Linked DNA regions of Pelodiscus sinensis. The protein of the gene in region 2 purifies or fractionates together with the protein of the main gene of each other region. This does not show direct contact. Links are inferred from orthologs where the notes say so. Each region holds a gene or a part of one and is shown on either strand. Other genes may lie near its edges.

The links.
Region 1: the proteins of NFKBIB (region 2) and POLR1E purify together in Homo sapiens (affinity purification with mass spectrometry; 3 studies listed by BioGRID and IntAct, counting the BioPlex papers as one, with this or other methods). This does not show direct contact. The link is inferred for Pelodiscus sinensis from reciprocal best matches to the Homo sapiens genes NFKBIB and POLR1E.

What each region holds. Positions count from the first base shown.
Region 1 is NC_134716.1:786,767-799,247, forward strand, and holds the start of POLR1E (DNA-directed RNA polymerase I subunit RPA49), read right to left. Parts: upstream 5,593-12,481; 5' UTR 5,489-5,592; coding exon 5,425-5,488; intron 3,764-5,424; coding exon 3,660-3,763; intron 1-3,659. UniProt on the Homo sapiens protein: Component of RNA polymerase I (Pol I), a DNA-dependent RNA polymerase which synthesizes ribosomal RNA precursors using the four ribonucleoside triphosphates as substrates.
Region 2 is NW_027465946.1:249,950-261,906, forward strand, and holds NFKBIB (NF-kappa-B inhibitor beta), read left to right. Parts: upstream 1-5,840; 5' UTR 5,841-5,926; coding exon 5,927-6,264; intron 6,265-7,436; coding exon 7,437-7,542; intron 7,543-8,477; coding exon 8,478-8,706; intron 8,707-9,126; coding exon 9,127-9,215; intron 9,216-9,323; coding exon 9,324-9,557; intron 9,558-10,256; coding exon 10,257-10,412; 3' UTR 10,413-10,492; downstream 10,493-11,957. Other genes in the region: SIRT2 (NAD-dependent protein deacetylase sirtuin-2), read right to left, coding at 33-74, 1,814-1,930, 2,851-2,899, 4,757-4,803, 5,314-5,329. UniProt on the Homo sapiens protein: Inhibits NF-kappa-B by complexing with and trapping it in the cytoplasm.

The DNA.
Region 1 (12,481 bases), on a different chromosome or scaffold from region 2:
GGCCCCTTCCCAGCTTCTGACAGAGGCTACGGACACCATCCTCCCAAGCCTGGCTCACAGCCGTTGATGTCCTGCTAAAGTCCTGGCCTTCACGACATCCTCTGGCGAGGAGTTCCGAACGTTTGTTTTAAACCTGCTGCCTATTCATTTCATTCGGCTCTTGTGTTATGAGGAGGAGTAAATAACTTTTCCTTGTTTGCTTTCTCCACACCAGTCATGATTTTATAGACCTCTGTCCTATCCCCCATCTTCTTTTTGCCAAGCTGAGAAATCCCAGTCTTATCCATCTCTCCTCAAGTGGCCGCTGTTCCACGCCCCTCATCATTTTTGTTGCTCCCCTTCTGAACATTTTCCAGTGCCACTATATCTTTTTTGAGATGAGGTGACCACATCTGTACGCAGTATTCCAGATGCGGGCGTGCCCTGGATTTCCACAGAGGCAGTAAGATACTCTCTGTCTTATTCTCTATCCCATCCTTATGACTGAAAGCCCAGCCTGGTGAATAATGCTACCTCCCCATTCACCATCCTCAAAGGAAAGGTAAGAAATGTTTGTGGAAGTCATTGCTTTCACCGTTCCAAAAGTATTTCTGGTTAACTTCTGAGCACGTTCACGGTCGTGAACTTTGGAGTGAAAAACACACCTACCACATCTTGTCCACAATAATCAAACCTGAAAGTGACGGTTTGTAATAAAAATGCTGTAACTAGTTAAGGCTAAAAATGCGTAAAACTAACCATCCTTGCTATTAAATCTAAGGTGTTCTCTCAGATGCTTTAAAGTTACATACAGCTTCCATTATATAAGTTGTTCATAACTTCCTAAAAATTAAATTTTCCGCCAGGACTGAAAATTGCTGGTTTGTCTCAACTCCCAGTTTGCTCCTGGGAGTAAGTGGGAGGTAGCACAAGTAAAATTAATTCAGTGATTTTAATTTAATGCTAATGCACACAAGCATACACGATCACATGCGCGCACACCCCACTTGAAAAACTGGACTTGTTTATGTGCGCTTCCACTCAAGAATGGCTGAACTTCAAAACTTCATTGCACGATCAGTTTCTCATCTCTGATCCTGAACGCCGAGTGTGATTCAGCCACTCTGAACAGTTGATAGGGTTACAGCCTATTGAAATAAAGAACGCGTGTACGTTGCAGTACAAAATTTCTACCTCCTTTGTGGTTGCACATGTGAACGCTATTCAGTAGTGCTAATCGCACAACTCCACAATAACTCAGGGAAGATTTTTCCTTTTCTGCCTTTTAGTTTGTTTGTCTTTCCACTAAAGCCAGCACAAGCAAAACTTTCCAACAAGGGACCTCAAATCATAACAAAAACCAAACAAGGCAAACGTTAAGGTTAGAAATGTTCACATGAGAAATCAGAAAACGCAACCTGGTGTCGGCAGTCATCTCAACCTGCCCAGTCTGCAAAGACTAGGGATGTTAAATGTCAGTTAATCAGCTAATTGAGTAGTGGGTGGAATTTCCATCAATTAGTCGATAAGGGGCGGGATGCTCTCTGCCTTTCCAAGGGGCGGGGCAGGGCGGGATGCTCTCTGCCTTTCCAATGTAGGAAGAGCCGCCCGGGGCTCTTGCTACATTTCAAAGGCAGAGGCCCAGCAACTGGAGCAGCACAAGCAGGGGACGGCTTCAGAGCCCGCTCATGCCATTTCCTGCTGCACCTCTGCCTCCACTGCCACCCATCCCTGCAGAGATGGTGCTAGGGGAAACCAGCTTTTAAGCACCAGCTCCTCCTCCCACTGCCTCTGTATCAGAGGCAGCGGGGAGAGGGAGAGGGGGAGAACTAGTTGACTCAACTACCCGATAAGCCATGTTTATCAGGTATTTGACTAGTTGCTTACATCGCTAGCAAAGACTAGCTCTATTTTGTATTAGGGGTGCTGTTAACCACATGGCCTAATAGAGACAGTGTGTGCAACATGCAACAATCAGTATTACCTTCAGGATCCATGACCGTGTTTAATTTGCTAACCTTAACTAGATCATTGCAATGGTATTTTGCATTTAACCGAGGCAATTCACACTTGCGGTGTACTGCATTACTGAACCCATCAGCCCTTACAGTAAGTGGCATTCAAAATCTTGAAATACATTGTCAGTCAGCTATCTGATGTTAGGTTCTTTGGAGTGCCCTGACAAAACCAAACCTGCCTTTCATACCCCTCAACGCTCGGATACTCAGCCCTGTTCCTAAAGGTTACACTGACATCTGGTGGTATTGCAGACTCCAGACCACAAGCTTTGCAGAGAAGGGAGGTGTTCCAAGTGTCAGCATGCAGACTAGTCCTCCTGGCAGACAGCCGGCTCACTGAAAGCTCTTCTCCCTCCCTCTTGCCCCACTCTTGTAAGCAGCCGTGTAAATGGAAAAGCTGGTGCTCCCACCTTTCCTGGAGCCAATCTGATTTCTACTGCTAAGAACAGCCTCTCCGCCACGCGAGTGGAAATAAAAGTCGAGGCGTGGACAGAGTCTCAGAAAATACCAGAAAGTGGGCAGGATAAAGGTTGGGGGTTGTGTTTTGATTGTAATTCACATGGAGGGGTCATTGGCTACTTTCACCAATTTGGAATCTACTTATTTTTTATGATGGTTAAAAACTGTTTCAGTTACTATGCCCGCTTACATCGTACTTAAATCCCTCTCCTAATTTATGACGCTTAACAATCACATTTTTAATGTTTTCCTCTCCACTGCTGGCGGAGCCCACTAAACACCTGTCCAGCCAAACCCACTGACGGGGCCCAAAACCAACAGTCCAACTAAAGCCCTGTTCCTGCAATCGGTTCCATAGCAGCCTAATCTTAAACAGCCCCACTGGAGAAAATGGGGCTCCATGCCTATCTCCTTACACAAAAGAACCAGTGAATAACTGTCTATGAAAGGGGTATCAAAGGCAAAACCCGAATACAGAGATTTTCCTTCACGCCAGGATCACAGGAATTTACAAACTTGGATGAGACCCAAAATTCATCTAGTCCAATATCTGTCTGCAAATGTGGGCAGTGCCAAATACTTTAGAGGAAGTCTAAAATAGCAGATGAGAGACAAAACTGCCACCACATTCGAGCTCTCTTGATAGCTTAAAACCTGAAGCAAAAGGTTTAACAACTTCTAAAATGTGTTATTCACTGTATCTCGATACATTCTGCACCCATACAGCATCTTTAATTTCTTGTAATCTTAGGTGTTATACTTGTAAACAGTAGCAGCTTATAAAAATATACATAATTTTTTTGCGTCTAGGGTGCATCTACACAGCACTGTACACAAAATAAGATACGCAATTTGCGCTATGCAAACTGTTATCTTATTTTGATTCTATTTCAAAATGGTTTATTTTTAAATTTGGTGCATATAGACAGTGCCAAATTTTGAAATAACGTGCTATTTCGAGACATCCCTTAAACCTCGTGGAACAAGGGTACAGGGATGCCGAAATAGTACGCCTGTTATTTTGAAAAATATTTCAAAATAACAGATGACTTGTTAAGAGGCAGGGTAGCAAATAGTGCCCCTTTACATATATTTCAATACTTCTTGGCAAAAATATCCTGGTTCACCAAAACAAATAGCTAGCAATAACCAGGAACCTGATATATCACTGTAGAACTCGGGTACAATGACAGACAAACTTACCAAGATTCTTTGATGTTTCTTTCTGGGATTAGTAGCGTCATTGTTTTTGTACAAAGTAAAATCCATGTTTTCAGAATTCTGCAGTTTCCCGTTAGAGAACTGAACTGTAATACATTTGTAAGGAAAAGCATTTGAAGCAGTGCAGATAATTATATGTTCAAAACAAAAATGTTGGCAACAGTGCCGAGAGAAGCTACTTGTAACAGGCATGTAAAATGCTGTTTAAAAGGTTAACCGGTTGAAATACACATTTAACTGGTTAAAAGGATCACCACAGGCAGGGGGCTACTCAGGCCGGGTGCCACTTAACCAGCTACCAGTAAGCATAAGGGTTGTGCTTACCAGGTATCCTGTTACCCTTTTACAGCTCTAGCTCTTAATGAGAATTTCGGGGAGCCTGAATGAGCTCAGAGTTAATTTCAGAATACAAATGATTTTATTCTGGAATAATTACTCCCCATTGGAAACCAGCTAATGATTCTGGAGTAAAACGACTGTTCTTATGGCCCCAGGAAGTTATTCTGGAGTATCTACTGTGGAATAATTGACCCTGAAATGGTTATTCCAGTCAATGTCCAACCATCGACAGAGCTTATTGTACCAAGACTGTAGACCAAACAGAGGGCTGCTACCATCCTACATCTGAGACGTCAGCGAGTTGCCCCCTAAGATGGCAAGGCTTGATGCTAAAGAAGGATGTTTTGACCCATGATTTGAAAGTCTACTATTTGCCCCAGCCCAGAGAAGGGCTCGCTTAGAGCTGTGCAAACACAGTCAGAAACAGACCCTGAAAAGGAGACAATTTCTCCATCCCTGACCATTTTGAAATCCAGCTAGAATTATTTCTACCCAAAAGCTCTGCTCTAGGAGTTAGTTTGGGGAAGGTCTCTGGCCTCTACTATACAAGGGGTGAGACTATGATCAGAGTGGTCCCTTCTAGCCTCCGGATCGGTGAATGTAAATATGTTGCCAGTTCCCTGAACAGGACCTCAGCACTGGGAGACAATTCATACACTGTTCCATGCACCCCGGGGCTGCAGACTGCAAAGGGATCACTCACTCACATGCTCCTTTGCTTTCTAGCGGCACGGTCTAAACGCACAACCCACCCTGTGCTAGGTGGCAAAGGCAGGCCAGCGGCCGCCCCGCAGAACACTGACCTCCAGCTGCAGTCCTCTGTGGCGGGCTTTCATTGGGGGCTATTTTGTCATTTTTAAGCAGCTAAAATGCTGGTTTTTTTCTTGGACTCCCCGCAGGTTAAAATGTTGTCAGGCCTGCGCAACCGGAGCCCAGCGGCCCTTGCCAGGCCAGTGCAGTACCAGCCATCCCGTGCGCACAAGGCCCCCGCTACCGGCTGGGCCAGGCCACCTCCACGGGGCAGGCTTCCCCCTCGCAAGGGCGGCTCTGCAGCCTGCCCGGGGAGAGACCCCCAGGACTCGCTCTGCAAGCTCAGGGCGGGGAGGGGGCTAGCAAGGATGAAACTCGCCCGCCGAAGTGGCGCGCTGCTGGCGAGGCACAGCCGGGACGCGCTGCTGGGGACGCGCCGCCCTGCAGCGGGGGGCCCGCGGCACATCCCGGGGCCTGGGCTGCAGCAGCGGGCGAGAGCCCCGGGCAGGCAGCGCCCGGTACATCCCCCCCCCCGGTACCCGGCTCACATCCCCCCGCTAGCGGCACCCGGCGGAGCGCACGGGGCGAGGCGCAGCCCGGAGCGCACGGGGAGCCGCCCCGCGGGGAGGCTGGCTGGGGGCCGGGGCGCGGCTCTTACCGAGCGGGGCGCTCTGCGCCTCCAGGGGGTGCCCCCGGTAGCTCCAGCTGGCGGCAGCGGCCATGGCGCAGCTCCTCGTGGCCGGCTGGAGACGCAGCCGCGACCGCCGCCTAGAGCCGGGCGCTGAGCGGAGCTGGCGCCGCCCCCGCCAGCTGCGCGGGGAAACCTGGGCCGGGCCCGCGTGTGCACGCACCTCCCTGCAGAGCGGGCGGGGTCTGGCATCCACTGGGGGGGGGGGCAGGCTTGTAAATAGCGACGTAAAGGGGTGAGCTGAGCAGCCCCCCCCCCTCGGTAACTGGGGGTCACCAAATGAAATTAATAGGCAGCAGGTTTAAAACAAACCAAAGGAAGTTTTTCTTCAGGCAGAGCACAGTTAACTTGTGGAACTCCTTGCCAGAGGATGTGCTGGAAGACCAGGACTTTAACAGGTTCCAGAATAGAACTAGATAAATGTATGGTGGCTAGGGCCGTCATGACTATTAGGCGGGATGGGTAGGGACAGTGTCCCTAACCTCTGTCAGAAACAGGAATGGGTGACAGAGGAGGGATCACTTGATGATTCCCTGTTCTGTTCCCTCCCTCTGGGGGCATCTGGCATTGGCCACTGTGGGCAGACGGGGCTGGTCTGACCCAGTATGGCCATTCTTATTCTTACTGTAAGCACTGCCTGACCAGCACGCTTACCGGGTTAACTGTGCCCAGCTGTGCTGAAGAAACCTGGCTTTTAACCTTAAATGTATAGTTTAGCCAGTTAACATTTTAAATGGACTTTTACATCTCTACTTCTGAAGACCTTCCTAGGACTGCCCGCTTACCACCTCATGGCAAGAATGACAGAACAGGTACAACTTAAAAAACAACAAATAGACTAGTGACACCTTAAAAACTAACAAAACATGTAGAATAGGAACAGCAAGGAGTTCCAGGGCATACAGACTACCAAATTTACTAGCGCTGCAGCTCACTTTGTCAGATGCATGAAGCGAAAGAATCAGATGGCGGAGATATCTACATACAGGGATGGGAGTGTGACAAGTGTTAACGAGGCTAATTCAATAGGGTGAATGTAGCCCCCTTCCAACAGTGATAAGAAGGTGAGAATACCTAAAGGGGAAAATTACTTTTTGTACTGAGCTAAGCCATTCCCAGTCCCTATTCAGACCCATTCTGATGGTGTCAAGTTTGCATGTGAGTCCCAGCTCAGCAGTTTCATGTTGCAGTCTGATTTTGAAGTTTTTTTTGCTTAAGAGTGGCAGCTTTTAAGTCTGTAACTGTGTGCCCAGAGAAGGAAAAGTGCTTTCCTACTGGTTTTTGTATGTTACCATTCTTGGTGTCTCATTTGTGTCCATGTATTCTTTTGTGTAAAAATTTCAGAGGGGTAGCCATGTTGGTCTGTAATAGAAACATCTGAAGAAGTGGGTTGTGCCCACTTTGTAGACACCATCTACATTTTTTGTTAGTGCCTAAGATGCTGCAGGACCATTGCTTTTTTTTTTTCTTTTGTGTAGAGACAGTCTGGTTTGTCCAATACATATGGCAGAGCGGCTGGTGCTGATAGCAATTATTTTTTTCTTATTCTCATAGCCTGTGTTCAATCTGTCACTTTGTACCCCATGGCTGAAGGAAAATTGATAGTACAGAGAAAATAAGACACTGTATTATTTCTGTTTAAAATAAGCTGCACTATACAGGTACTTGAATTGGAGACTGCAAAATCCTTTAGGAGCTACCACTGTTCCTCCTTGGCCTATATTGCACGATGCCATTTGGGATATTACTGGCATCCATTGGAAGACCTTGGTACTGCACATTGCAAGGATAAATAGAAAGAAGAAACTCATGCGCTTACTAGAATGTGAACCTATTTTCCTCTCCACTGGCTAGTTCGTGCAAGAGGATGGAGCCTGCTGCCACCAGCCAATGGAATTATTCCTTTTTTTCAGTTCAAATAATAAAAGCCTGGGATTTTATTAATAAAAGGTCTGGGATTCAAACCCTGCTGAAGACCCAAAGAGAGGGGAGACAAAGAACTATTACAAATTGGCATGCAGCATGGCATGTCGTTTTTGAAAGGAGCGATCTAGAGTAGCCACGCATTGCAGACAGCGTGTCTGTGCCTTAGTGGTTGGCCGGGGGGGTTCTAGCCCTCTGGCTTGTTCTCCCAGGGGTGACTGGGCTCCATGCAGCCTTTGCTCCAATGCATTTGCAGGCTGTGCGCGCCCCTGTCCTGGAAAGCAGGGGGCCCCGCCCCCCGCCCCGCCCCAAGGCTCCAGGCAGCGGGTCCCTTGCGGGCGCTCTGCGGCTGCCCCAGGCCTGCCAGGCCAATGAACGCGCGGGAGGGGGCGCTGGGGCTCTTGGGAGCTGCTTGGGCGGCAGAGGGCGCTCGAGAGCCTGGGCCTGGATTGAAAACACATTCTGATTGGTTCTTGGAGGGCCTGTCCAATCAGCAAAGGGCTTGTTGATAGACGTGCTCAGCAAACGGGTGGCCGATTGGCTAAGCCGACACCTCAAAGCGGGAAGGGCAACGAACGGAGCCCTATGATTGGCTAGGAGTTTCGCATCCCGGGAAGCCCCCCCCGCCTTCTCCGCTGATTGGCCGCGGAGTGATGGCGTCATTTCCTGCTGCCGGCGAGGCCGTCGCAGTGTCCGGAGCGGCGGGGGGAGGAGAGCGCAGCGCGCTGGCGAGGGAGCGGCCGGGGCCGACGAGGACGGGCCGGCCCGCCCGGAGCCGCGGGAGGCGGGGGCGCGGCGCGGGTGAGGCGGGCCCGGGCGGCGCGCGGCGGGGAGGGCGGCGGTTTGTTCTCGGGGCGGGGGGGCCGTGCGCATGCGCCGGGGCCTGGGAGGCGGCGAGAGGCGAGTCTCGAGCGCTAGACAGGCGGGGCGGGGCCTCGGCCGGCGGGTGAGTGACAGCTGGGGGGGGCTCGCGCTGGCACCTGCCCCCCCTCCGCGGGGACCGCCCTGCCCGCAGCCCCCCCATCGCATGCGGACTCTTGGTGACCTGGCGCCCGGAGACCGCACCGCGGCGGGGGAGGGGCGCTGCAGCGAGACCCCCCTTGGCTGGGGACCCCGAGCAATGAGTGCGGGGGGGTGACAATCACCCCGGCTAGGACCTGCCCTGTGCCTGGCAGCCGCCCCCCCTCTGCGTGGTGCCGCCCCCGCGCAGAATGACTCTTGCTGGAGGGGCGCAGCACGCCCCCCCCCCCATTAGTGTGCGTACAGCAGCCGTGTGCGGGGGCCGAGAGTGGCAGGGCTCGGGGCTGGGGCAGAAGGTGGGATGCAGAAGTCTGAGGAGGAGTCTGGGGCCAGGGGAGAGGTGCCAGGTTCAGGCTGTCCCTGGGCTACTGCAACCACCAACCCTGTCTTAGCTCTCCCTCCCTCCCTCCCTCCTCCGCCTTTCCCTCACAACCTCCTAGGAAACTCCCACAAACCTAATACAGTAATAAGGCTGCCAGTTTCATTGTGTAGATATTGCTCCTCCTCATCTGGTGGAGCATTATGTTGATAGTGTTTTTGGCAGGGTAAAGGTGACACAATACAGGAGGTGGGGTTCCCTTACTTTATTTCCATGCTCTTAAGGTGTTCAGATGGGTGGAGTATGTCGAAAGGCAGCCTTAGCTGTCACTAAACTAAGATTTTTGTTTAACCAGGATATAGCTTTAGGACTAGTGACCTATTTAGCTCTTTGCTTAAAGAGTTAATTCACTGAACACCAGCTTCCTGGAAAACTTTTCTCCCTGGCTTATTTTAATAAAATAAAACAAAGATTGAGGGATGAAAGAGAGAAAACAGCATTCTTGATTTTTACAGAACTATAGGTCCTGTTTGTAATCTTTGTTTGGATCAGTACTTTTAGTAGTGATCAGGTATGTCCAAAAGGATAACTGGTATAATAATGTTGATTTTTTTTTTTTAATTCTCACATTGCTACTTTTATTGCTATGCCCAGAGCCAAATTGTGATTAAAACCTATTTGTTAGCTCTCGGCTTTTGCAAACAGCCATTCTTTTAAGTTGACTTCTGTCATTCTTAAAAAACCAGATATTACACTTGATCTTAGCCTGCAAGAGGCATTAAAATAAAAACATTACTTTTTTCATGTATGTATTTTAAGTTGATCCTGAAACAAGTATTCATCCATTGGGAATCTTTCAGATTAGCTTTGTGGTTTTTTGAAACTTCAGGCTTGCCTGGTGAGGTCAAATTCCTTTTACCCGTCTTTGGTTTAGAAGTGACGTCTGTAAAGCTCAATACCTGATATTTATTGCCTATATCAAAATAAATTGTTTCCTCATTTATAATGGAATGCATGTATCCGGAATTTTGTACACACACAATGAGTGTGCATAGCGCATGACTCTGTATGCATTTGAGACTATTCAAGTGTGTGATTTGAGTAAACTAAATTAGAAACTTGTCTCAAATTGTATTCCTTTTCCAAGATGCATGTTTCCGTGATTTGCCAGTCCTCTTAGCTCAGGGGTGGGCAATAATTTTTGACTGGGGGCCACTTCAGAAATGTTTGAAGTGGCGGGGCCGGGAGACTCCTGTGCTTCCTCACCTACAAATCCTGATTGATCTGGGGATGGAGGAGCACGCAAAGTCTTTGACCCCTCAGAGAGAACTCCTAGCTGTTCTGAACAGATGGCCAGTCCCTCTAGGCACCCATGCCCCTGGCAGTGGGAGGAGATTTCATGTGGTGCCCCCAGGTCAATCAGGGCCTGTGGAGGGGGAGCATATGAAGTCTCTCGTGCCCTGCCCTGCAAGGGAGCTCTGCACTTAAGAGTCAGCAACCAGCTGAGCAGCAGCTGGTGGTTAACTTTAAGTGTGGAGCCCCTTGCAGGGCAGAAGGAGACTTCCCCGGACTTTCCCCCTGACCACAGGCCCTAATTGGCCTGGGAGTGAGGGATGTGGCAGGGCCTCCGCAGGCCAGATTAACTTGTTTGGCAGGCTGTATCCCGCCCACAGAGGCCCTTTTGCCCACCCCTGTCTTAGCTGGTACTATAGGCTCTGGTAACCTGCAATAATATTACTATTGATTTGATTGTTTAAGAAACCTCCCCTGTTATCATCTTAATCAGAAAGGTACAAATAGTGGAAAAATTACATTTTTTTTTTAGGCAAGGGTCAGACTATGGCATGCTGAATAATTGTTTAACTTTACAATTGTATTAATGGAATTTAAATCCCAAATCTTAACTCTACTTGTCTTGTTGAGCAACGTTCCAGTTGCTCAAACGTGCAACGCTGTTTGTGTCCTGAGCTAGAAGGACCAGAAAGGTCAGTGGAAAAAGTATTTGCAGAGAAAATAGAGCCTTGCTATTAAGGTTAGTTAAGTGTTTTTCTCCTGAATCTTACTACCATTCTCCCCTTGTTTGCATATGAGTTGGGAGAATTCCAGGGTTAATACTGTAGTGAAAAGCTCACTGACCAACACCACTGCTGAGATGGCTGAGGATACTGGGATTTCTGTCCCTAGGTTCTGTTTCATAGAGTTCAGTGCCAGAAGGGACCATTGTGATCATCTAGTCTGTGGCCTGTGCTATATGGGGGTGAGAAATTCCTCAAAATAATTCATAGAGCATGTGCTTTAGAAAATAAGTTTGAGGCTCTCTGGATAGTTGATTGTAGAGATGTCTTGGTCTCCAGGTTCTGTAAGCTTGGAACCTTCTTTTCCATCAAGTGTTTGGTGCTCTACTTTTTCCTTCCATCTCCTTTTTGGTGAGGTCAACTCATCTCCTCCTTAAGACAATTCCAGTATCTGCCTCCTCTGCTTGGGAGAACTGCAGCAGTAGCAAAAAGATTTAGATGATTTCACTTCTACCTACAAAGTTCTGAATAGCAACTGCGAAGCTCACGAGTCTTTGAGCTGCTGCTGCTTGGGAAAGCAATATACATCTATCTGCTTTCAAGATTAAACTAGATGGGTTTATGAAGGGGATGGTTTGATGAGATAACATGATCTTGGTATCTAATTGACCATTCATTATCAGTGGGAAATAGGTCAATGGAGGGATGATAGGAGTTACTATAGAGAACTTTCTGGGTGTCTGGTTGGTGAGTCTTGCCCACATGCTCAGGGTTTAGCTGATCGCCATATTTGGGGTCGGAAAGGAATTTTCCTCCAGGGTAGATTGGCAGAGGCCCTGGAGGTTTTTCGCCTTCCTCTGTAGCATGGGGCACAGATCACAGCTGGAGGATTTTCTGCATCTGGGGCCTTCAAAGTATTTGAAGGCTTCAATATCTGAGATATAGGGGAGAGGATTATTCTAGGGGGGGTGGGTGAGATTCCGTGGCCTGTACTGTGCAGGGGGTCAGACTAGATGATCATAATGGTTCCTCATAGACTTTAAGGTCAGAAGGGACATCAGCCTTGAACAGTAGAGCAGTCTATAGATGAACAAAGACAGCGGTACGTTTGTTTGGAGGGCTAGATGTTGAAATGAAAGCTTACATTCTGAAGAAAGTAGTGGCTTAGAATCCATGTTTGAGACTTCCTGATGCTAGAAGGCTTCTTTAATCTGTTAGTGCCCAGAGGTCCCAAATGAGATCCAAGCTCTTGGTGTATGTATGTACATAGCAGGCAAGACATGAATTGAATAGTTTGCAGTCTAAATAAGCATGGATGGAAATGGTGGCAAAAGGAAATATTATGCCCATTTTACTGATGGAAAACTTGGGCATGAAGTTAAGTGGGTTGACAAGGTCACACAAGAAATCTGTGGCAGAGTGGAGTGTTGACCCTCCCCACACATCTAAGTCATGATTGGTTCCTTAACCACACAGCCATGCTTACTCTTCCTCTATTTTTGCCTTTGGCATTGTACATGAAATTCCTTGTTCAGTTTAATTATAGATACTTGTAAGAAGGTTAAGGGTGCAAAGACGAGCATACAAAAGCTAGGAAATGCCAGGATAGGGTTGTCTGTGTAATCTTTCTTTGGTCCCCTTATGTATATGCATTGATAATCTTTGATTATATATGTACTTCCCCTTTCCCACACAGCGTCCCTACCCTTTTCACTAGTTGGGTAGTTATTCAGTATTTCGTCTTATCTTC
Region 2 (11,957 bases):
CCTAGCTCCGCCACGCCTGCAGCTGTACTCACAGGTTGAAATCCCAGCGCCCACCATGCAGACGATGTTCCTGCCTGCAAGATCAGAGAGGGAGGCATCGGATCAGAGTGCTGAAAGCCACGTGGGAACCAGCCCCACGCTCTCGGTGCAGGTTCTTGGCAGACATCACCGCAGCCCACGGCCCAGAGCTTATCCCTCTAAGAGCAAAGCCACGTGTCCCTGCACTCCTGACCCCTGCTGGGCTAGAACCTGACCTGCAGTGTCACGCAGGCCCCTCTGGACTCAGCATATCCCTGAGCGGAGCAGGGGGCCTCTCAAGCTGGCATCGAGGCCCCACTCCCAGCCCGCAGCAGGCGCTGCAGTACAGCCTCTCCCCAACTTACGAACCGGTGATGGACCAAACAATCAGTCGTAACTTGGTTTGTTTGTAATTCGGACCCCACAGAGTTACACACGACCACGCTGTTCCTAACATGGATCCCGTTCGTAAGTGCGGGGTCCTGTTCGTAAGCGCGGGGTCCGCCATTTACAACAGCTTTGGTCGTAACTTGGGTCCCGTTCATAAGCGCGGGGTCCCGTTCGTAAGCGCGGGGTCCCGTTCGTAAGCGCGGGGTCCACCATTTACAACAGCTTTGGTCGTAACTTGGGTCCTGTTCGTAAGCGCGGGGTCCCGTTCGTAAGCGCGGGGTCCACCATTTACAACAGCTTTGGTCGTAACTTGGGTCCTGTTCGTAAGCGCGGGGTCCCGTTCGTAAGCGCGGGGTCCACCATTTACAACAGCTTTGGTCGTAACTTGGGTCCCGTTCGTAAGCGCGGGGTCCCGTTCGTAAGCGCGGGGTCCACCATTTACAACAGCTTTGGTCGTAACTTGGGTCCCGTTTGTAAGCGCGGGGTCCGCCATTTACGACAGCTTTGGTCGTAACTCGGGGACCAGACGTATGGCAATTCTCTGCTTCACAAGCACCTTGGGAAGCAGATACTCCCCAGAACAGCCTTGAGGTTGCTCGGACTCTGGGCCACTCAACTTTGGAAGCCCCAGGAGCCAAAATGATACTCAGCACATGCGGAGGGCTGCAGCTTAAGAGTGGCTGCATAGACGTGCAAATATACATGCAAATAGCTTCTTTCGCACTGAGGGGCATGAATACAAAGCTTAAGGCAAGACTACACAACACCCCCCCCCCATCTAAGTCAGCTCTGCTGCTATTAATAAAAGGCAACGTTTACCCGATCTCCACCCATATGACAGCACTTGTACTAAGCAACGACAGTCCAGGAATTGAACTACTAAAACGCAGCTCAGCAGACGAGCGTTCTATGGACTCGCCGTTGTGGAGCGTGTTCCCAGTGGAGGCCATGTTCAAAGGATCCCACTCGGGGGCGGGCTGCAAACAAATGGGCTATGGGCCGCCCGCCGCCCGTAGGCCACGTATTGAGTAGCCCCGCTCTAACTTATACCAGGGCCCATAATACAAGTAGCACAAGGGAGGTTTAAAGCCACCCCCAAGCCCCTGTCAAACCTGCCCCCAGCACCAAGAGGGAGCCCATGGAGACTGGATCCCTCCCAGCAGCTCAGAAGGGGTGGGGTGTACGAATGTGTAAGTGACACCTGTGCCCCTGCTTGTAAGTTACACCAACATGGAGTCCCTGCCACATCCCTTGGTCTGCTCCAGGCCTGCCCCTAGACAGCCCCGCTAGCCCACAGCCTCTCCCTCAACCCCTTTCCCTTCCCACTGTGAGGGGGGAAATCAGGATGAGAGTCGCTCTGGTTCAGTCTCAGAGCAGCTGCCTCCCAAGAGGGGACCCAGCTTACACTTCTCACTCAGCATGAAGCGGCTCACACCATCTAGTGTCAGCTCATCCAGCACCTTCTCCGGTTTCTCACTGCCCAGGCCCAGCGTCCGGGACAGGAGATTTCGCAGGAAATCCACTGAAAGGGAGAGGACAAGCAAAGTTAGCTGTGTATTCCTGGGCTCTGGTCCCAGCTCTGGGAAGGGAGTAGGGTCTAATAGTTAGAGCAAGGGGACTGAGAGCCAGGAGGCCTGGTTTCTAATCCTAGCTCCACGGATTTGCTGAGCAGCCTTGGGCACGGCAGTTCTCGTCCTCGAGCCTCAGTTTCCCCCTCAGGACTCCATTTCCCAATGTCACAGAAGGAGGTCGTTTTGAAGGTTAGTTAATATTTAGAAAGTGCCTTGAAGACTTAAAAGGGAAAAGAGGGTGTGTGAGTGCACTGGGAACGACAGGAGAACCCGGCACGGACGGAAGGGCCCATTGTTTAGGTTCAAGGCACAGCTCTGCAACTGACTACTCGTGCGAGGAGTCGCTGGGGCCTGGCGTATGTTACACGCTTCAGTTGGCTGGGGGTGTTCACACCCGCTAGTTGACACAGCCGTGCTTAGCAGAACCCGCAGTGCAGACAGCAGAAAAGCGTGCCTGTCTGTTTAAATAACGTCTTTTGCAAAGGTGGTGTCACCGGACTGGCCTCAGTTTCCCCTTCTGTGGCACTGCCCTGCCTCCCAGGGAGTTATGGGAACAAATATGTCAGAAACAGAGGCTTTCAGAAACTACAGCGACAGGGGCCTGAAGATAATTGAGAAAGATTATTCAATCCCAATTCCAGCCACAGACCAATTTTTGCCTCGAAGCCCGGACAGAAAGAGCTGGTTTAACGACAGATGATTTACCCCTATTCACGTTAATCACCTGAGGCATTAGGCCCCCCTGAGAGGAAGGAACAGGGATAGATTGACAGACCCAGCAGGCTCTCCCAGGCTCTCCCCTGTGTATCATGCTACTCGGCCGCCCCATGCTCCCCATCCCTTCCCCTACAATACAGCACAAGTTACCTACTTTCAGACTCTCCAGAAGCACCACCGTTTTCCGAGTCAGAATCAGAGTCCTGAATAACAGAAAAAACACACAAAGATCAGACAGTTAAGTTCATAGGTTAAGTAAGCCAGCGTTAATGCAGCCAGTTAAGTAAGCCAGTGTTAACGCAGCCGGTTAAGTTCATAGGTTAAGTAAGCCAGCGTTAACGCAGCTGGTTAAGTTCACAGGTTAAGTAAGCCAGCATTAACGCAGCTGGTTAAGTTCATAGGTTAAGTAAGCCAGCGTTAATGTAGCCAGTTAAGTAAGCCAGTGTTAACGCAGCCGGTTAAGTTCATAGGTTAAGTAAGCCAGTGTTAACGCAGCCGGTTAAGTTCATAGGTTAAGTAAGCCAGCATTAACGCAGCTGGTTAAGTTCATAGGTTAAGTAAGCCAGCGTTAACGCAGCCGGTTAAGTTCATAGGGTAAGTAAGCCAGCGTTAATGCAGCCGGTTAAGTTCATAGGGTAAGTAAGCCAGCGTTAATGCAGCCAGTTAAGTAAGCCAGCGTTAACGCAGCCAGTTAAGTTCATAGGTTAAGTAAGCCAGCGTTAACGCAGCCGGTTAAGTTCACAGGTTACGTAAGTCAGCATTAACGCAGCCGGTTAAGTTCACCGGTTACGTAAGCCAGCGTTAACGCAGCCGGTTAAGTTCATAGGTTAAGTAAGCCAGCGTTAATGCAGCCAGTTAAGTAAGCCAGCGTTAACGCAGCCGGTTAAGTTCATAGGTTAAGTAAGCCAGCGTTAATGTAGCAAGTTAAGTTCACAGGTTAAGTAAGCCAGCGTTAACGCAGTCGGTTAAATAAGCCAGTGTTAATGTAGCTGGTTAAGTTCATAGGTTAAGTAAGCCAGAGATAACGCAGTCGGTTAAATAAGCCAGCGTTAATGTAGCTGGTTAAGTTCACCGGTTACGTAAGCCAACGTTAATGTAGCCGGTTAAGTAAGCCAGCATTAACGCAGCCGGTTAAGTTCATAGGTTAAGTAAGCCAGCGTTAACGCAGCCGGTTAAGTTCATAGGTTAAGTAAGCCAGCGTTAATGCAGCCGGTTAAGTAAGCCAGCGTTAACGCAGCAGGTTAAGTAAGCCAGCGTTAACGCAGCCGGTTAAGTAAGCCAGCGTTAACGCAGCCGGTTAAGTAAGCCAGCGTTAACGCAGCCGGTTAAGTTCACAGGTTACGTAAGTCAGCATTAACGCAGCCGGTTAAGTTCACCGGTTACGTAAGCCAGCGTTTATGCAGTCGGTTAAATAAGCCAGCGTTAATGTAGCAAGTTAAGTTCACAGGTTAAGTAAGCCAGCGTTAACGCAGTCGGTTAAATAAGCCAGTGTTAATGTAGCTGGTTAAGTTCATAGGTTAAGTAAGCCAGAGATAACGCAGTCGGTTAAATAAGCCAGCGTTAATGTAGCTGGTTAAGTTCACCGGTTACGTGAGCCAACGTTAATGCAGCGGGTTAAGTTAGCCAGCGTCAATGTAGCAGGTTAAGTTCACCGGTAACGCAGCCCGTTAAGCCGTCTTCTGTGTTTTACTGGCTAGTGTTAGAAGCATCTGTGTCTGTGGCAGGATCCTCTGAGGACTGGGACAAAGGCAAACCAGGACTCCTGGGTTGTGCTGCAGGAAAGGGGCCTGGTCTCCAGATACAGCAGGGAGATGGTAGAGGAGCCAGGCCTCCTGGGTTTTAGCCCCAGCACTGGGAGGGAAGTGGGGTGGGGGCTCTCGGGGTCTGTCCCTGGCCCTGGAGGCGAATGGGGTGGAGCAGGTTAGAGCAGCGGGCTGGGGGCCAGGACTCCTGGTTCTTTTGCAGGCAGGCTGTGGTGGGTGGCCGCTCGAGAAGAAGGGAAGGGGTTAGCAGAGAGCCCCCGCACTGCAAAGGGAACCCGAGCTGCGCCCCCTACTCACGGGAGAGTCCGCGCCCCGCTCCGCCTCGCGCCCGCCGGGCCCCGCAGCTGGGACAGCAGGGAGAGAAGAGACCCGAGTTGCTGGCGAAAAGGGGGAGGGAGGCGCGCTGCTATGGGGGGGGGCATTGGGGGATGGGGGGGGCTGAGCCCACGGGGGGGGCGTTGGGGGATGGGGGGCGTTGGGGGATGGGGGGGCTGAGCCCGCGGGGGGGGGGCGTTGGGGGATGGGGGGGCTGAGCCCGCGGGGGGGGGGCGTTGGGGAATGGGGGGGGCTGAGCCCGCGGGGGGGGGCGTTGGGGGATGGGGGGCTGAGCCCACGGGGGGGGCGTTGGGGGATGGGGGGCGTTGGGGGATGGGGGGGGCTGAGCCCGCGGGGGGGGCGTTGGGGGATGGGGGGCGTTCGGGGATGGGGGGGGCTGAGCCCGCGGGGGGGGCGTTGGGGGATGGGGGGCTGAGCCCGCGGGGGGGGGGGCGTTGGGGGATGGGGGGGCTGAGCCCGCGGGGGGGGCGTTGGGGGATGGGGGGCTGTCCCGGGGGCGGGGCTATCCCGCTAGTCACCGTCCCGCTCGGCCATGGACCCCGGCGCCCGCCCCGCTCGGCTCCGCCGGACCCGACTGCGGCAGGGAAACGGGCCGCCCGCTCGGCAGAACTACATCTCCCGGCGTGCCCCGCGCCCCCGCCCCGCCCCTCCTCCCGGCGTGCCCCGCGCCCCCGCCCCCGCCCCGCCCCTCCTCCCGGCGTGCCCCGCGCCCCTGCCCCCGCCCCGCCCCCCCTCCCGGCCTGCCCCGCGCCCCTGCCTCCGCTCCCAGCCTGCCCCGCGCCTCCGCTCCTCCCGGCGTGCCCCGCGCCCCTGCCCCGCCCCGCCCCTCCTCCCGGCGTGCCCCGCGCCCCTGCCCCCGCCCCGCCCCCCCTCCCGGCCTGCCCCGCGCCCCTGCCTCCGCTCCCAGCCTGCCCCGCGCCTCCACTCCTCCCGGCGTGCCCCGCGCCTCCCCCCTCCCAGCGTGCCCCGCGCCGCTGCCCCGCCCCTCCTCCCAGCGTGCCCCGCGCCTCCCGGCCTGCCCCGCGCCCCTGCCCCGCCCCGCCCCTCCTCCCAGCGTGCCCCGCGCCTCCCGGCCTGCCCCGCGCCCCGCCCCGCTTCCCGGCGTGCCCCGCGGCGGGCGCTGGGGGGGCCATGGCGGAGCCGGCGGGCGGGGCCACGCGGGCCGAGGCGGGCGAGGACGGGGACTGGTGCGACAGCGGCCTGGGCTCGCTGGGGGAGGGGCAGCTCAGCCTAATCCAGGAGGGCCTGGCCGTGACCTCTGACCCCTGCCCCCCGACCCCCGACCCCGCGGGCGGCCCGGAGCGGCCGGACTCGGCGCTGGGGGCGGCGGAGGAGGAGGGGGGCGGGGCGCTGGGGGCGGTGACGCGGGGCCTGGGCTCCGTGCGCGTCGCGGACCCCCCGCCCGGCCAGGGCCCCCCCGAGGCCTGGCTGCGCCACGTGCTGCGCTTCGTCACCGAGGACGGGGACACGTAAGTGGGGGACCAGCCCCCCCCGGGCCTGTGCCCCCTCCGAGCCCCGCCCCCCCGGGCCTGGGCCCCCTCCTAGCCCCGCCCCCCCGGGCCTGGGCCCCCCCTCCTAGCCCCCCCCCGGGCCTGTGCCCCCCCCCCGGGCCTGGGCCCCCGTCCGAGCCCCCCGCCCCCCCGGGCCTGGGCCCCCGTCCGAGCCCCCCGCTCCCCCGGGCCTGGGCCCCCGTCCGAGCCCCCCGCTCCCCCGGGCCTGGGCCCCCGTCCGAGCCCCCCGCCCTCCCGGGCCTGGGCCCCCATCGAGCCCCCCGAGCCCCCCGCCCCCCCGGGCCTGGGCCCCCGTCCGAGCCCCCCGAGCCCCCCGGGCCCCCGTCCGAGCCCCCCGCCCCCCCCGGGCCTGGGCCCCCGTCCGAGCCCCACCTCTCCCCCCCCCCGGGCCTGGGCCCCCGTCCGAGCCCCCCGCTCCCCCGGGCCTGGGCCCCCGTCCGAGCCCCCCGCTCCCCCGGGCCTGGGCCCCCGTCCGAGCCCCCCGCCCTCCCGGGCCTGGGCCCCCATCGAGCCCCCCGAGCCCCCCGCCCCCCCGGGCCTGGGCCCCCGTCCGAGCCCCCCGAGCCCCCCGGGCCCCCGTCCGAGCCCCCCGCCCCCCCGGGCCTGGGCCCCCGTCCGAGCCCCACCTCTCCCCCCCCCCGGGCCTGTGCCCCCGTCCTAACCCCCCCCAGGCCTGTGCCCCGTCCAACCCCCCCCCCCCCATCCTGGATTCCAGGCACTTGGCTTGTGCCCCGTCCAACCCCCCCCCCCCCCCATCCTGGACTCCGGGCGCTTGGCTTGTGCCCCTGTCCTAACACCCCCCCCTTCCCCCCCCGCCCGGCTGCCTTGATATCTCAGTGCTGTCTCCATCGGCCGCGGCCTGCAGTCCCTGGTGTCCAGTTTCTGGGATGCTTTAGGCATTAACTGTAGGAATTCAGTCACTGTTGGCAGCTATTCTATTGCCCACACTCCCAGGAGTTTTACACCCACCTGGTTTCCCTGCTGCACCCCCAGCTCCTTGCTACTTGCTCTTTGCTGACTAGATCGATTCCTCTTCTTGCTATTGCTTCCCTTTCATGGGTGGCATTTCCAGCCAGTTGCAGGGTACTTATTTATTTTGCTTGGAGTGGTGTCTGTTCTTCCATCCCCAGAGCCCTCCACTTGGCTGTGATTCATGAACACGAAGCCTTTCTGGATTCTATCCTGCAGTACACGGCCGGGACGGAGTACTTGGATCTGCAGAATGACCTGAGCCAGGTTGGGCCAAGACTGGAGCTTTTTCTGTCTGTAGTCTCTGGCAATTGCAGTGGGGAAACTGAGGCACAAAGAGCCACATTGGTTTGCCTGAACATTGTACAGCCAGTTGGGGACAAAACTCGGGAGTAGTGGCTCCTAGTCAGCTTCCTACACGATATCGCCCATGCCACCTCCTGTAGGGAGTGATTGGGTTGCTGGCAGGAAGATGAAACACAACCACATATTAATTCCTCTGCATCATAAATGAGTTGGGGGAGCAGGGAAGAGTGTTACGGAGCACAGCAGTCTTTCTGGAGCAGGGAGCTATCCCTCGCTTTGTGTCTGTATAGCATCTAGCATGCTGGAGATGCTCCTGCAAGCAACTGATAAATGAGACACTAATATCCAAACACATCTTCCCCTGGATCCCCTGATGGCTACCTGTTCCTTCTCTCTGGCGCTGGCCACTGTCGGAAGACAGGGTGTTGGACTAACTGGAGCTTTGGTCTGCTCCAATATATGGCCGGGGAATGTAAGGAAGGCTGGGGAATTGACAGTGGCAGTGGACCAAAGTAAACGGGGCCAGGGAGGGCTTTGTTTAAAGGGTGTAAGGTGGTCGCGCTCATGCCAGGCAAATCAGCTGCCTTCCATGTAGCTCACGGTGCAGAGGAAGGACAAGACCGTGTCGGCTCCTGTGCCTGGGTAGTAGAGACAGCTTTTGTGTGAATAGTCGTGTCCTTGACTAAAATTTCTGACCTGCTTGTGCAATTGGCCACTGCCTGCCTGCCCAGAGGTGGCTGCTTTTCAGCGCTGCGTCTGGAATATGGGGTGTGACGCTATTAGGGTGACAGCCCATGGAAAGAAGCGATCTGTAGTGGTGTTAGTAGGCCGGGCACTTTTTAGGGAAGATCAGCCACAGAGCTTTCTGACCTGTCTATCTCGCTGACCTTCCCCAGACGGCATTGCACATTGCAGTCATCCTCGGTGCCTCCAACTTTGTCCGCAAGCTGATGGCAGCCGGGGCAGGGCTCTGCGTGCAGGAGAAAGGCGGCCACACGGCGCTGCACCTGGCATGCCGGGAGGGCTGGCGGGACTGTGCACAGTGGCTCTTGGCATCGTTGAGCATGCGCAGATCCTGTGAAGGGAGTGACGCCAGGGCTCAGTTGGACTGCACCAATTATGATGGTATGGAGCCTCTCGTCACCCACCTGGGAGTGTTACACGTGGGACCTTTGTCCTGAGCATGCTGTGTCCTTCCCCAGCCAGCATGGCCAGAGCTCTCTGTGGCCCAGTTACCCTCCATTTCCCTCAAGGCTGTGAAGGGCTGAATATGAATAGAACAGCCCCAGAGAACCCCAGAACTTGGCCACTGCCGAAGTAGTTTCAATGCCCATTTCTTTGCATGTGGAAGTGGCTTAACTTAGGGCGTGGCCTACTACTTTGGGGGTGAAAAAACCAAAAGGCAGCATGCTGGAGAGATACGTAGTGTGCGGTGTATTCTATACCAATCCTCTGACACTGCCTTGACAACAGCCAGCTGAGAGGGGCCTGGTCAGAGAGTTACTTCTTGGGTTGATCAGGATTGTCTGCTCTCGGTTCCCATAGGTTACACGCCGCTGCATGTGGCTGTCCTGCGGAAGGATCTTGAAGCAGTCAAGCTCCTGGTGAGCGCCGGAGCCAGTCTCAACAAGGCGGTTAGTGCAAGGGCGGATCGTCTATGGAGAGGGGTGGCCAGGGATCAGAAGGTATTTACCCTTCTCAGAAGTCTCTTTCTTGCTGACTGGTCTGTCCACCACTGGCAGGAGCTGAGCTGTGGCCGGAGTCCCCTCCACTTGGCAGTGGAGTCTCAGAGCCCGGAGGTGGTGGAGTACCTGCTGCATGCTGGAGCAGATCCGGGGGCCCGGATGTATGTTGGTTACACCCCCATCTACAGCGCCATGCACAGGCCCAACCAAAAGATCTTGCAGCTGCTCCGGGAGTTTGGCTCGGAGGAGCCGGACTGGGATTCAGAGGACAGTTCAGATGACAGCAGCGACGTGAGTGGGGTTGGGCGTGTGCGCTGGCCTAGCGGTGCAGGAGGGAGGAGTGCAGGCACCCCCTCGGCAAAGCCAGGCCAAGCTTGCAAGTGGCCTCATCTCTGCTCTAGAGCCACCCCTCCCCCTGTAGGAGGCCTAGAGGGCAGTGCTGAAAAGCCATTGCAACGTCCCCCATGTGTAGGAATTGGCAGGTCTCAGCCTGGTTCCTAGTCCTCTGTGCCACCAGCCCCCCTCCGCTCCTGGCAGGCCCCTCCCCTCTGACACACAATGGGTGGAGAAGCTGCCATTGGGTTTGACAGCAGAGAAGCCAAAGGGATCTTTTCCCCAGCAAGAGATTCTCTTTTCAAATGGGTCGAGTTCCCTGAGTCTCTGGTCTACGTAGATTAATGCAGAGCAGGGTGCGCTCTGCCTGGGTCGGTCTGTACGTACCTATGCTGCGGGGGGGGGGTGCCGGGGCTCTGCGGTGATTTGCGTCTGGAGTTGACGCAGGAGACTCAGAGGTACTGCTGAGCCTAGGGAGCTGGGACTGAGGCCTGGCGCAAATCAAGCCCGGCGAGCTGGCAGAGAGAAATTTGACAGTAGCTGGCTCTCAAAGGTTTTCCGTGATCCAGTTGCTGGAAGTTGAAGCTACGTACAGGCAGATGTGTCTAGCTCTAAGGGGTTAATCTGAACAGAGTAATTAGTCCTTAACTTTCCCAGGGCTGTGGTGTATTCTCCATCGCTGGCAATGTCCAAATCCAAATCGGAGCCCCCCCCAATATCTGCTGTAGCTCCCACAGGAGCGAACGCAGGCCAGTTGTGTGGCCTGTGTCACACAGGAGGTCGGTTGATCGCTGTTGTCTCTTCTGGCTTTAACCGATGAAGCCGTTTGATCCTGGCCCTCCCCACCTGCTCCGTAATGATCCCTAAACAGGCCCTTGCCGTATCTCGGAGGTCATCAGCAAAGCTCTCCTGTTTCTCAGGAAGAATACGACGACATCGTCATCAACCGTGGACGCTATCAGAATTAATGGGGCCGGCCCTGCGGCGCCTGCAGCGTGAGCTGGCGGCCGAGGAGCCCCTCCAGAAGAGACTCGCAGCCTGCCCTGCCCTTGTGGGAAGCAGCTCCGCAGAAGCTTGTTCTCAGCTGGATCGGGCTCTCCAGGAGCCGAGTTCTGTGGCAGCACAGAGCTGCTCCCTGGAAGCGGTAGCTGAATGCCGTGTTCGTTTCCTTCTCTCTCCACGTAGGCAGTCGCAGCCAGTTACCTTGATTCCCTTACAGTAGAACAGGCATTTCGGCAGCTGGGCTAGAGCGTCGGCCGATTGCCCTGCGGAGCCGCTTGCCATTTGCTTTCGGAGCGGGAGCGGTATCCCTGCCCACATGAGGGGTGTCACTGGGCCCCACAGATGTTGCTCATGTAACTAAGCAGTTCAGCTCCCTGCGGAGCTGCACCGAGCTGCGTTTCTGGCAGGGTTTGCGCGGCCTTTCAAAGACCTCGGCCTGTTTACCTCTTTTATGTTGAGAAGCACTGAGCACCGCCGAACTGCTGCTAGCAGAGTAGTTGGGGCCAAATTCCTTTTAGCTGCTCCCATCCTAGCACCTGAATGAGACGGGAGGAGTTTTGCAAGTGCCCTGCAGACGTGGTCTGCTCAGCTAGCTGTAAGGACAAAGGTGCGTGAGTGCACCTGGAAATCAGACCCGAAGCACTGGCAGAAGGCCCAGCAGCCCAGAGAGGGAATAGCTGGAGTGTGGGGTTGCTGGATTGAAACAGGTGGGGCGGGGAGGAATCCGCAGGAGGAGCTGAGGGGAGACGAGGCTGGTGGAAAGACTGGGATGGCCTGTTATGAGCAGAGGGGGAGAGCGGTCTTCAACGTCCCAAAGGGGGCGGAGCAAGATGCTGGAAAGAGTTGAGATGTGAGTGATGTGGCTGGACCTGTTCGATTTGGGTCAGAGATGGAGAAAGAGGGACAGGCTGTGTCCTGAGTCGGATCTGTGCATAGGGGCCAAGCTGTGTCCGTATCCGCACTGGCCGCTGCTTCTCTGCCAGTACCGGTGGGACCAGCTTTGTCTTCCCCCTTCCGTCCCCCCCACCTGAGGAGTCTGGTTTTTTTTCTTTGCCCGTTGACTGGCTGCAAAGCCCTGTTCACACTGCTTGGCCCTGGTTGTTTCTTCCAGAGCTGTGGGAACCAGTATGCCCATCCCATAGTGTTCTTGGAAAGCAGAAAATTTGCCTGTACTAGATTGGGCTGAAAACTCCATCTGAGCCTTTCACAAGTGGCAGGTCAAAACGACGTCAGTTGCATGATTTAGACTCTGATTGTCTGGGGCTGGCTGTATTAAAAATGGCAAACCCCAAAGCTGTTTTGACTCCCAAACTGGAAACTTTCCTGATTCAAACAGGCCATGTGACAAGTTCAGCC